Linked DNA regions of Pelodiscus sinensis. The protein of the gene in region 3 interacts with the protein of the main gene of each other region in a pairwise test. Links are inferred from orthologs where the notes say so. Each region holds a gene or a part of one and is shown on either strand. Other genes may lie near its edges.

Region 1 (3,749 bases), on a different chromosome or scaffold from region 3:
AACTTATGCCAACCTTGTGTTTAGGGTTGCCAGATACTTTAAAAAAAAAATACCAAACATGGTGGGGAAAAAATTGGTCGAGAGGAAAAAAACAAAACAGGGCACCAAAGTTGTTGAGCAAAAAAAAGGCATAAAAGAAAGAGGCACTGAGCCTCTAAATCCCCACGCTCACCGCTTTCCCCGCCAGACATGGCAGGGGGTGAATGTCCCAAGCAGACTTCTGTCAGAGAAAAACAGAATACACCAGATGTTTTTTTTAAAACCGGACAGAAGCCGCAAATACTGGACTGTCTGGGCCAATACTGGATGCTTGGCAACCCTAATTGTATTATGTCCGTGCACAGTACATGGGAAGTAGGGAACTCCAAACACACGTGCATACAATACTGCTAGAGCCGCAGTCTATTAACAGCATTGCACTTGCAGCTTGTGAGCAATGTGCTCCACAATACCTAAACTATTTGTAAAAGTGACTTAGGAGCTACAGGTAATGTCTACACTACAGTCACAAAGTGGGACTAAAGCTTGTGTAAATATACACAAGCTAGTTTTAATCTAGCACCAATGTTGCAGCTATGTACACCTCAGCACAATCTAGCCCTGCAAGTAGCTATCCAGTGTTCTGGCTGACATATACAGCCTGAGCTAAAGCTAGTGCTGCCACAGTCCAGGTATCTAAAATAGCTAGATTAAAGCTAGCTCAAGATGTCTACACAAGCTGCAATCACACACCATGACTGCAGTATATCCTAGGTCTCATGAGTCAGTCAACTGGTTAAGTGAGCTTTACGGCCGGAGTTGATTTATATGCCAAGAGAGAAATCTGAGATCTTACATTCTTAATGAGACATGCCAAAGCTTTTGTATCAGAGAGCAATGGGTTTCCAGGCAGAAACTCTGGGCTGTCCACTTTATGACGTTCCTAGAATTATCAATAGGGGGCCTGATCAGAATGCAGAATTTTCTGAGTAGTCTTTAAGATGGAGGGTGGATGGTGTCATACTTATGCCTTAAATTCACTCACATGGTCTGCCTTGTGGACCAGCAGGGCACCCATAAGAATTTAAGCACTAAGTACAGGCATTTGTGTTTGTAAAACTTGAGTAACAGATGCTGGAAGGTAAATCACATTTGTAGCGGTTGTCCCCTACAGCAGCACAGCTCATCTTGTTATAAGCTGAAAAAAAGATAAATGCTTCCCCTTATGTTAAAATACAGTTCTAGGTGAACAATAAAAATAGCATCATGGGGTCCCATGTTTATTGTCTCTCAATTGTTCAATATCAGAGGTGCTTTTTCTAACTGCCAGTCCTGTAAACTCAACCTGAAACCTGAGCCAAGCTGTGGTGTTCTTTTTTTTAATGAAACCTCATTTCCTTCATAATGTGCACAGGGACCAGCACCACTACCTGATCACCCACCTGGAATTTCCGGACCATTGCCTGACGGTTGTAGTAGGTTTGCTGGGCCTGCTGGGCTTTTTCTAGGTGCTCTCTTACAATGGGGGTTATCCGCGCGATCCTGTCCTTCATCTGCAGGACGTGCTCTACAATATTGTGTCCATGGTTTGTCTGCTCCTCCCAGGTCTCTTTGGCAAGGTCTAGAAGGCCCCGGGGGTTTTGCCCACATAGCAGTTCAAATGGGGAAAAACCTGTGGATGCCTGTGGTACTTCTCGAATGGCAAACATGAGGCATGGGAGTAGGTAATCCCAATCTCTCCTGTCCCGACTCACTACCTTCCGGATCATGTCCTTGAAGGTGCGATTGAACCGCTGGACGAGGCCATCCGTCTGCGGGTGGTATACTGACGTCCTCAGAGCCCATATGTGGAGTAGTGCACACAGGTCCTTCATTAACTTACACGCACAAAGGGAGTACCCTGATCGGTTAGGATCTCCTTGGGTATCCCCACCCTCGAGAAGATTTGAGCTAACTCCCTTGCTATTGTCTTAGAATGGGTATTTCTTAGGGGTACTGCCTCAGGGTATTGGGTGGAATAGTCCAGGACCACTAATATGTTCCGGTGTCCTCAGGCTGACTTTTCTAATGGGCTCACTAGGTCCATAGCGATGCGTTAAAAAGGGACCTCAATAATAGGTAGGGGTATCATTGGGGCTCTCAAGTGTGGCTGGGGCCCATGAAGCTGGCATTCAGAGCAAGAGGCACAATAACGCCGAGCCTCCATATATATACCCCAGGCCAGTAGAACCTTCCTAAAATCCGATCTAGGGTCTTCTCAACTCCTAGGTGACCCCCCCAAATAAATGACTGTGTGCTAGGTCCAGCACAGCTCGCCGGTGATTCTGAGGCACCAAGAGCTGTTCCACCTCCTGTCCTGGGCCTGGCAGCACTCAGTATAGTAGATCCCTCTTGATAATGTAATAGGGTCTAGGGCCCTTGAGCCTTCCTTCTACACGGATCCAGTTTACTTCAACTACCTCTCTACGAATGTTTTGATACAGCGGGTTGTTGGCCTGGTCCTGTCCAAAATTTTCAAGCGAGGGCCCTACCTGCCTGAGCTTTGGGGAACCTTCAGCCTCTTTCATCCCAGGGGGCCCTGCTAAGCTAGGCCCAGCCTCCAGCTCGTTTACCTCTCTCAGTGCTTCATTATCAGTTGGCTCAGTTTCCCCCCGGGCCAGGGCCTGCCTTAGGTTCTGGGTCAGAATTCAAGTACCCAGTTTCTTGGCTGCCCTCCTTTTCTGCTTTGATTTCCGGGGTTTCCCAAGCTCAGAAAATAGGTCCTGGGAAAATTCATGAAAACTTGGGAGGGGGCTCTCTTCCTTTCCCTCAGTTGTAGGGAGCAGGTCACTAAATCCAGGGAAGTCCCACCCAATCACAACTGGGTATGGGAGCCTCGGAACTACCCCCACTGCAACCATTGTGACATTCCCCTGGATCTCTATTTGTACGGGGACAACAAGGTAATAATTGACATCTCCATGGACACAGGAGATCCCTGTGCGCTTGGCATGGGTCAGCTGGTCTGGTTCCATCAGCTGCCCAGAGACCAATGTAACGACGCTCCCTGAGTCCACCAAGGCCGTGGTCTCTATTCCATTCATCTTAACAGGTCGGGTGTACAGATGGGGGACCATTGCTATGCCTGCCAAATTTATGAGATTACAGGGGCCTCCCAGGGCATCCCCCTATTTCTTGGGCTACTGGGTTTTACCCCTGACCTTCCTGCCCCTGGTCCCCAAGTCCATTTACGGCCTCTGGCTGCTCTTCTGTCTCCCTCTTCCCCGGCTAAGTCTTACTCGAGGGTTTAGAGCCACAGGCCTTTGGGGCTAGTCCAAATATCTTGTCTCTCCAGACTGCTTTGCTGAGGGGTTGCAAAAGTCCTTTAGTCATTAATTGTCTTTCCATGAGGGCCACCATGTCGTCATATGAGAAGGGTTCATTCTGGCTGACCCAGGCTCACAGATCGGGTGGTAGGTCCCTCAAACCGGTCCAGGACAATAATTTCCACAATCTTCTCCGGGCTGTAGGTCTCCGGCTGCAACCATTTTAGGGCCAAGTAGATCAGGTCAAATAGTTGTGCCCTTGGTGCTCTGCCCTTCCCATATTGCCACTCATGGAACCTTTGAGCTCTGATAGCAGTGGTTACTCCCGACCTGGCGAGGATCTCAGCCTTCAGCTGGGGATACTCAGTGGCAGCCTCCTCCGGCATGTCGAAATAGGCCTTCTGGGCCTCACCACACAGAAATGGGGCCAGGATGCTGGCCCACTGGGCTTGGGGCAACCTTCCT
Region 2 (3,749 bases), on a different chromosome or scaffold from region 3:
GGGCGTTCATGGCGTTCAGGATGGACTTGGCGTGCGAGTTGGTCATGATGTCCTTGGGGGCCATGGCGGCCCTGTTCTCCCAGCACGGGATGGGGCAGGGGGACAGTCTCTGATCCCAGGCCCTGCTCCTCCAGAAGCGTGGGGGGGGGGGGGGAGGGTGTCACTGTGGCCACGGGCCCCGCTCCCCCGGCACGGGGGGGGGGGGGGGTCACTGAGGCCCCGGGCCCCGCTCCCCCGGCACGGGGGGGGTCACTGAGGCCCCGGGCCCCGCTCCCCCGGCACGGGGGGGGGGTCACTGAGGCCCCGCTCCCCCGGCACGGGGGGGTCACTGAGGCCCCGCTCCCCCGGCACGGGGGGGTCACTGAGGCCCCGGGCCCCGCTCCCCCGGCACGGGGGGGTCACTGAGGCCCCGCTCCCCCGGCACGGGGGGGGTCACTGAGGCCCCGGGCCCCGCTCCCCCGGCACGGGGGGGTCACTGAGGCCCCGCTCCCCCGGCACGGGGGGGTCACTGAGGCCCCGCTCCCCCGGCACGGGGGGGGGTCACTGAGGCCCCGCTCCCCCGGCACGGGGGGGGTCACTGAGGCCCCTGGCCCCGCTCGGGGGGGGGGGTCACCGCGGGTGGCGGGACACGGGCCGGGATCTGGTGGCAGGTGAGCGAGGCCCCGAGACCAGGGAAGGGGCGGGGCTAGAACGCACCACGTGGGCAGCTGCCAGCTCTGCGCACGCGCCCAGCCGTGGGGAGGCCTAGGGCTCAAAGGGCGCAGGAAAAGCACTTTTAACTCACGCATCCAATCACATCGGCCGGGGGGTACCAGCGACCAATCGCGGGGAAGGTCATCACAGCAGCCTGTCGCCCGCCCCCAGCGGAAATGCTTGTGCCCTGAATCACGTGGGACACAGCGGCGGTGCTGCCTTTGGCGGAAGTGGCGTCACACCCGAGGCTGTTTCCGGTGTTGCCAGCCGGAGCCGCCGCTGCTGCTGCCCGGGATGTAGGGCCGGTGAGTGCGGGCGGGAAGGGGCAGGCGCGCGGCGCGGCTGCGGGCGGGGGGCCGGGTCCCCTCCCGGCGGGCTCGCTGGTGCTGCGGGCCCGGGGCCCGCCTAGGCGGCCCGCCGCGGGCAGAGTCAAGGCGGCCAAGGTGATGCCGGGGCAGCTGCTGCGGAGCCCGCCGGCCTGGCGCTGGGCTCCGTTCCCAGCGGCGCCTCGGCTCCCGCGGCTCTGGCCAGAGCGCGCCGGGGGCCCCGCGGCCCGACCCCCGCTCAGCGCCCCTACGGCGGCCAGACATTGACAATACAGGGCACGAAAACAGCCGGAATCGCTCCGTCCGATTGTCCCTCTTGCCCAATATCCCGCCTGCGGATGATGACTAATGCAAGGTGCTTCCGAGGGTGTGAACGGCGCCGGCAATGATCAAGTGAGCGATCCCTGCTGGTCCACACCCAACATCTGGGAAACCGGCTAGTGCAGGGGTGTCCAAACTTTTTTCAACGAGGGCCAGATTTGATGAAGTGAACATGCGTGAGGGCCGACCATTTTGCCTGACATTCTTTGAACCATTAAAATTAAATGCAAATTAACTATTTTACGCAAAGTTTATTGCAAACGACATACTTTTCATTTCGTCACATGGATGACAAATCTAAACAGGTGTTAAATCACTCTGCCTTTCATATCTGAAGGCCAGATGAAAAAAAAATCCAGGAAGCTGAAATATATGTCAGGAACATTGTAAAGTACATTACATATTATTGGTAATAAAGGTTGTCTGTCAACTTTTAAGTTCAAAAAATATGAACAGGAACATAACACCAAGTATACATGTTGTGTCCAAATATATTTTTAACTGATTTAGACCAACGGACATTAACTGAGATTTTACAATGTATTCATCTCAATTGGAAAAAAAACTTGCCTGCACTAATGTGAAGGGTGAAACTGAGATCTGGACTGCAGCACATAGGCTAGGTCTGGTTCAAAGGCAGTGGTTTTGATGCGCAAAATGTCACGCAGGTGAGAGTCACTCAGTCTTGTCCTCACGCGGTTCTTGTTAAACTTCATAGCAGAGAATGTCTTCTCACACATATGTTGAGCCAAACAAGCTCAGCATTTTCTTAGCCAATGTTCGAATCTCTTGAACCCGGCTCTTATCCAGTTGGCGGTAAAAGTTCACAAGAGAGAGCTGTTTGTGATGACTGCGTAACTCGCTGTCACAATGCAGCTCAATGAGCTCGAGCTGCAGCTGATCTGGAGCATCATCGGGGTCAACCGAGAATGGAGAGGAGAAAAGGCTGATCTCCTTTTCAATAGCTGCAAAATCCTGAAAGCGCCGTTTAAACTCCCCAGCCAGAGATGCGATGTCTGCTGCATACCTGCTCGTTTGCGCACTGATATTGTCCTGTGGAAAACTGTTCATTATTTCCTGCAATGCTGAAAAATGTATGGTATTGGGCTGTGTTTGTGACAACTGCCTTATGAAAAGTTGCAGCTTTGTTCCAAAGGCTTTGAGGTGTGAATAAAGCTGGTTCACCGCTGCATCTTTCCCCTGAAGACTCGTGTTCAGTACATTCAGATGCTTTGTTGTGTCAACTAGAAACCCCAAATCAGCCAGCCAAATAGGATCGGATAGTTCTCGCATTGATTGTCCCTTTGTTTCCAAGAATTCTCCGATTTCCTTTCTGAGAGAGTAGAAACGCTGCAGTGCAGACCCCCGACTGAGCCATCTTACATCGTTGTGATATAAAACATCTTCGTATTCAGCCTGGATGTCCAGTAGAAACTGTTTAAACTGGCGGTGGCACAGGGCTTTAGAGCGAATAAAATTAATAGTCTTTAGCACCGGTTTCATAACATGATCATATTTGAGATGTTTAGCACAGAGAACTTGTTGATGAATGATACAATGGAGTTTAATAGCTCTGCCTCCTTCTTCGATCACCTTGTTACAGATTAGGGTTGATAATCCACTTCGTTCACCAGCCATGGCAGGTGCCCTATCAGTAATAATCCCAGTAACTTTGTTCCAAGGCAGTTTCATGTCATCTATGGCGGAACTAACAAACAAATAAATCTTTTCCTCTTGTTTGGTCCGTAAGGCTCTGGAGGTCAAGTAGCTCTTCAGTCACATTCATTTCATCGTCCACCCCTCTCATAAAAATCAGCAACTGAGCTGTGTCAGATAGGTCCGTGCTTTCATCACAGGCTATTGAAAAGAAGTCAAAATCCACTCCTTTGGACGTCAACTGTCTCTTAATATCTGATGAAATCTCTTCAGTTCTCCGTGCTACAGTGTTACGAGCCAGGCAAATGTTGGCAAACTCTTGCTTCTTCTCGGGACAGATATTCTCAACCATTTTCATAACGCATTCTTTGATAAAGTCACCCTCAGCAAAAGATTTGCAATTTTTAGCAATTAACGTTGCCACCTCATAGCTCGCCCTTGTGGCATTTTCATTTGACTCACGGGCTCTTGTGAAAAATCGCTGTTGTGACATTAAAACAGCTTTGAGTTGCTTCAACTTTTCACTGCGGTCGCGCCGTGTTAGCTTGTCGTATGTGCTATGTCTCGACTGGTAGTGTCTCTTGACATTAGATTCCTCATAAACAGCCACAGTCTCTTGGCATATCAGACAAACACAGTGATTCCGTATTTCAGTGAAGAAATATTCCACTTTCCACCTGTCCCTCACTGTCAACTTTCCTTCTCTTATTTACAGTCGCCATTTTTGAAATTGACCAGAAGGGGAAGGGATCA
Region 3 (3,749 bases):
CCTACTACTATTTTACTATTTCAAATGTATTTTTCTCTTTTTTCCCCCGTCACTAGCCTTTAAAATGTTTGACCTTATATTTGTGCTGTATTTCATTTTGCAAACGTTTTATTGTGTTCTGAATGGAGTTGAACTTAAAAGTGTTGACAAATCAAAGTATGAACACCATATACACCTCTCAGATATCCATTTTAACAGGGAAACTTGCTAACCTACGGGAACCACTCAACTCAAGTACTAAAGATCAAGACGTTCTATTCACAAAGCTATAAAAAGGGTCTTTGAAGAATAATGGGGGAGGCAGCATATTTTATACAAGGCCCCTGTGATCTAACAAACTGAGGATTAGCTACAAGCATGTTTGAAAATGGTCTTAAAATTCTGCTATGTTCTATGAACATTGCTGTACATTACAACCAAGTCCAAAAATAACTATTAAAAGGTTTTATTCCAAAACAACTTTGACGCTCAAAAACGTATCTGCGGCCAACTCCCAGACCAGGATCGGACGCCAGCAAGTTCTCTGAAGACAATGGCAACCTGTGGGCTCAAACCATGGTGGGGAGGAACTGCGTTCAAAACCTTCTAAGAGAAGGGGGCGAGGACAACGAAATCGCAGCGCGCTTGTGACCGCGTAAGGAAGGCTTAAAACCACGTGAAGCTCGAAATGTCTGAGCAGAAATCAAAGCCCAACGTCCTGCAGTTGAGGGAGGAAAGCGAAGTCCCAGGGGGCGTGTCCCCCTCAGACACACCCCGGACCGGCTCCACACAGTTTTCACACCTGTAGTCAGGCGGGCGCGGGGTGCGATGCTAAACTGAGACAGGGGCCCGGAGCGGGGCGAAGAGGAGGCCTCCGCGGGAGGGAGTCACCCCGGGCAAGAGCCTGGTTCCCGCTGTGCCGGCCTTAACGGAAATAACCACTCGCATCCTTGGAGAGCGCGGACGGGCAACCGCAGCGGCCCCGCTCCAGGCGTCACTCGCCTCGCGGGTCTTTCTTCCCCCGCCCCCCTAGATTGACGGCTCGGTTGAGCAACGAGGAGGCCGGGGGGAGGCGGGATTTCCTGGGCGGGGCTGGGCCCCGTGTTGTGGCTGTGCTGACGAAGAGGGAGGGGTCAGTCAGGTGGGCGCTTCGTAGGGTGTGTGGGCGCCTCGGCCCGTAGAGACCAGCTGTCGCCATGCCCGGGATTGACAAGCTGCCCATCGAGGAGACGTTGGAGGACAGTCCCCAGGTGAGAGGAAGGGGACTGAGTCGGGCCTAGGGCTGCCGCAGGTTGGAAGAAGGGCCCAGGGGCTTTGCGCCCGGCTGGTGCCCTCGGGCCCCGTATCGGGCGCGTTGGCGGCATAATGAGCGCTAGGTTGGGAGGCAGGTTGCGTGGCTGACTGGTGCGGTGAAGGGGCAGGAAACCGCGGTTGTGGTGTCTGGGGCGAGCTCCCAAGAGCCCGGGGAACAACCATTGGCTCGGGGCACAGGAGCGTCCTGTAGGGTCTGCTTCTATTTTCTGCCTTGCTTTCCTTGGTGCTCTCCGCGCTGCTGTGAACTACAGCAGCGTCAAGCCATAAATGGACTCCGAGCTGCCCCTTTGCCACTGTGTGAACTGGAGCAGGGAGTCAATTAATGTGTCAGTTTCCCCATGACGTCATCCCTACCTTGAAGGTGTGCTCTGCATATTGATTGTTTATAAACTTGGAAGTTCATCATATGACACCCTATGCCAGTGTTTCTGGAGCAGGGCTCCGCGAGGTCGACAAACTGGAAACATCGATAGGTACAACACATACAATCGGTGGACCGCTGGGGCTCCGCATAAGTACAACACATACAATCAGTGGACTGCTAGGGCTCTGCATAATTTTTTATGCATGTAAAGGGCTTCGGAGCCCCAAAAGTTTGAGAACTGCTGCTCTATGCTATTAGTCCTAGGGCCCTGCAGAAGTGTGATACTTGTGGTGACTGTCTCTGGTTCCTAAGAACTTAATTTTAAAGTACAAATTGTTTTATTTTGAAATAATCCTCAAAATATTTGTTAATGTGAGTCCTGCCTCTCTGTCTCCCAGCCAAAACTTACACATTTTTGTAAAAAAGAAATTAAGATGACAGCTTGGATTCATGAAGTGTTTCTGAGAGCTATGCTTAGACTGGAAATACATGCTGCTGGCTTACAGCTTTTTAATTACACTAATTTCTTCACTCAGCTTTTATTGCTTAATCAGTTGTGCTTGATATTAAAGGAAAATATAGCTAAATAATAATGTTTTATAGTTTGCCTCTTGACATTGTGAACAATGTAACATCCTCAAGCCCAAACATAATATTTCATGCTAAGCAAACACTGCACTTATTAGCAGAGAAATGTGAGCCTACAGAACGATCATAGAATACTGGAACTGGAAGCTACCTCAAGAGATCATCAGGTCCATTTCTCTGCCCTCATGGCAGTACCAAGCACTGTCTATATCATCCCCGACAGCTGTCTGGCTAACCTGATCTTAAATATCTCCAGTGATGGAGATTCCACAACCTCCTTAGGCAATTTATTCCAGTGTTTAACCACCCTGATAGGAAGTTTTTCCTAATGTCCAACCTAAACCTCCCTTGCTGCAGTTTAAGCCCATTGCTTCTTGTCCTATCGTCAGAGGCCAAGGAGAACAATTTCCCCCCTCCTCGGCAGTACAGCTGGATCCCAGCAGGGGGGCTGTGTGTGCCAGCAGCGGTGTTGCCTTGATGGGGCCAGGGGCGCTGCATGTGGAGAAGCCAGCTGGGAGGCTGGCAGCAAGGCCACGACTGGGGGGCGCCGGTGCCAGTGCCAGCGGAGGCACAGAAATGACCTTTCCTGGTCTGGCAAAATGCCTCATCCAGGATCTATCAGGTCCCAAGGGTGCTGGACCAAAGAGGTCCAACCTGTATGGTTTAAAAAAAAAAATTAAAGTAAGGACCTGAATAATACCAGCCAGGTACAACTAGAAGGTTTACTTTATAGACAACCAAATGGATGTTTCAGTTTAAATAAAAGAGTGATGTGGAAGCTATTTTCTTCTTACTCATAAAAACTTACTTAGTTTTTTATTAAAGTATTTGAGTATCTGACATCAGCATTTGTAGAACCTACTGTAGTGTCTTTGCACATCATCCTAATACATTTTAGGACCGTTTCTTCCACTATAAAATTTGAGAGTGTACACACTATTGTATACTCCATTCTTGAGTGTAGGTTTTTTGTTTAACTACTTTAATATAATTTCTTTAAAGTATAAGTAGTCCACTGCTTAGTCAAATGTTCATGTATCTAATGCATTTTAACTTGTCACAGGGCAGACTCACCACCATGGAACCTCCAGCTGGCAGTCCCGGGAATTAGCTCTCCCACTCACTGGACGCCTCCCTCTAGCTGGTGTCTCCCTGTGTTCTTACTAATCCCTTTGGTCCTGACCCGTGTCACTCTCTGATCATGGCATCCTCTTCTGGACACTGCCCTCCAACAGTGCCCACTCCAGTCTCTCTGCACCCCCTTCTGGGGGGGAGGGGCAGAACTGTTGTCTACCCAACTGCGCACTCCACGGTCCTCCCCTCCTAAGGGGCACCCAGTTCTTCTCCTAGGGACCACCCAGTTCCCCTGTACCCACTTTGCCCCAGTTGATCCACTGTCAGTCTTCATAGGCAAACTGCAGTCTGTAATGGCCACTCATCACTGGCAAAGAGGTGTGGACCTGCTGCTTTTGCTTACCACAAAAGGTGTGGATGGGATAAATGG

The links.
Region 1: the proteins of APPL1 (region 3) and UBE2O interact in binary tests that used the Homo sapiens proteins (3 or more experiments, as listed by UniProt). The two-hybrid records come from large-scale screens. The link is inferred for Pelodiscus sinensis from reciprocal best matches to the Homo sapiens genes APPL1 and UBE2O.
Region 2: the proteins of APPL1 (region 3) and ADIPOR1 interact in binary tests that used the Homo sapiens proteins (3 or more experiments, as listed by UniProt). The link is inferred for Pelodiscus sinensis from reciprocal best matches to the Homo sapiens genes APPL1 and ADIPOR1.

Annotation. Positions count from the first base shown.
Region 1 is NC_134730.1:10,274,349-10,278,097, reverse strand, and holds the start of UBE2O ((E3-independent) E2 ubiquitin-conjugating enzyme), read right to left. Parts: upstream 2,833-3,749; 5' UTR 1,854-2,832; coding exon 1,422-1,853; intron 1-1,421. UniProt on the Homo sapiens protein: E2/E3 hybrid ubiquitin-protein ligase that displays both E2 and E3 ligase activities and mediates monoubiquitination of target proteins. Negatively regulates TRAF6-mediated NF-kappa-B activation independently of its E2 activity.
Region 2 is NC_134737.1:16,712,363-16,716,111, forward strand, and holds the start of ADIPOR1 (adiponectin receptor protein 1), read left to right. Parts: upstream 1-854; 5' UTR 855-998; intron 999-3,749. Other genes in the region: KLHL12 (kelch-like protein 12), read right to left, coding at 1-64. UniProt on the Homo sapiens protein: Receptor for ADIPOQ, an essential hormone secreted by adipocytes that regulates glucose and lipid metabolism. Required for normal glucose and fat homeostasis and for maintaining a normal body weight.
Region 3 is NC_134721.1:27,194,732-27,198,480, reverse strand, and holds the start of APPL1 (DCC-interacting protein 13-alpha), read left to right. Parts: upstream 1-894; 5' UTR 895-1,175; coding exon 1,176-1,229; intron 1,230-3,749. UniProt on the Homo sapiens protein: Multifunctional adapter protein that binds to various membrane receptors, nuclear factors and signaling proteins to regulate many processes, such as cell proliferation, immune response, endosomal trafficking and cell metabolism.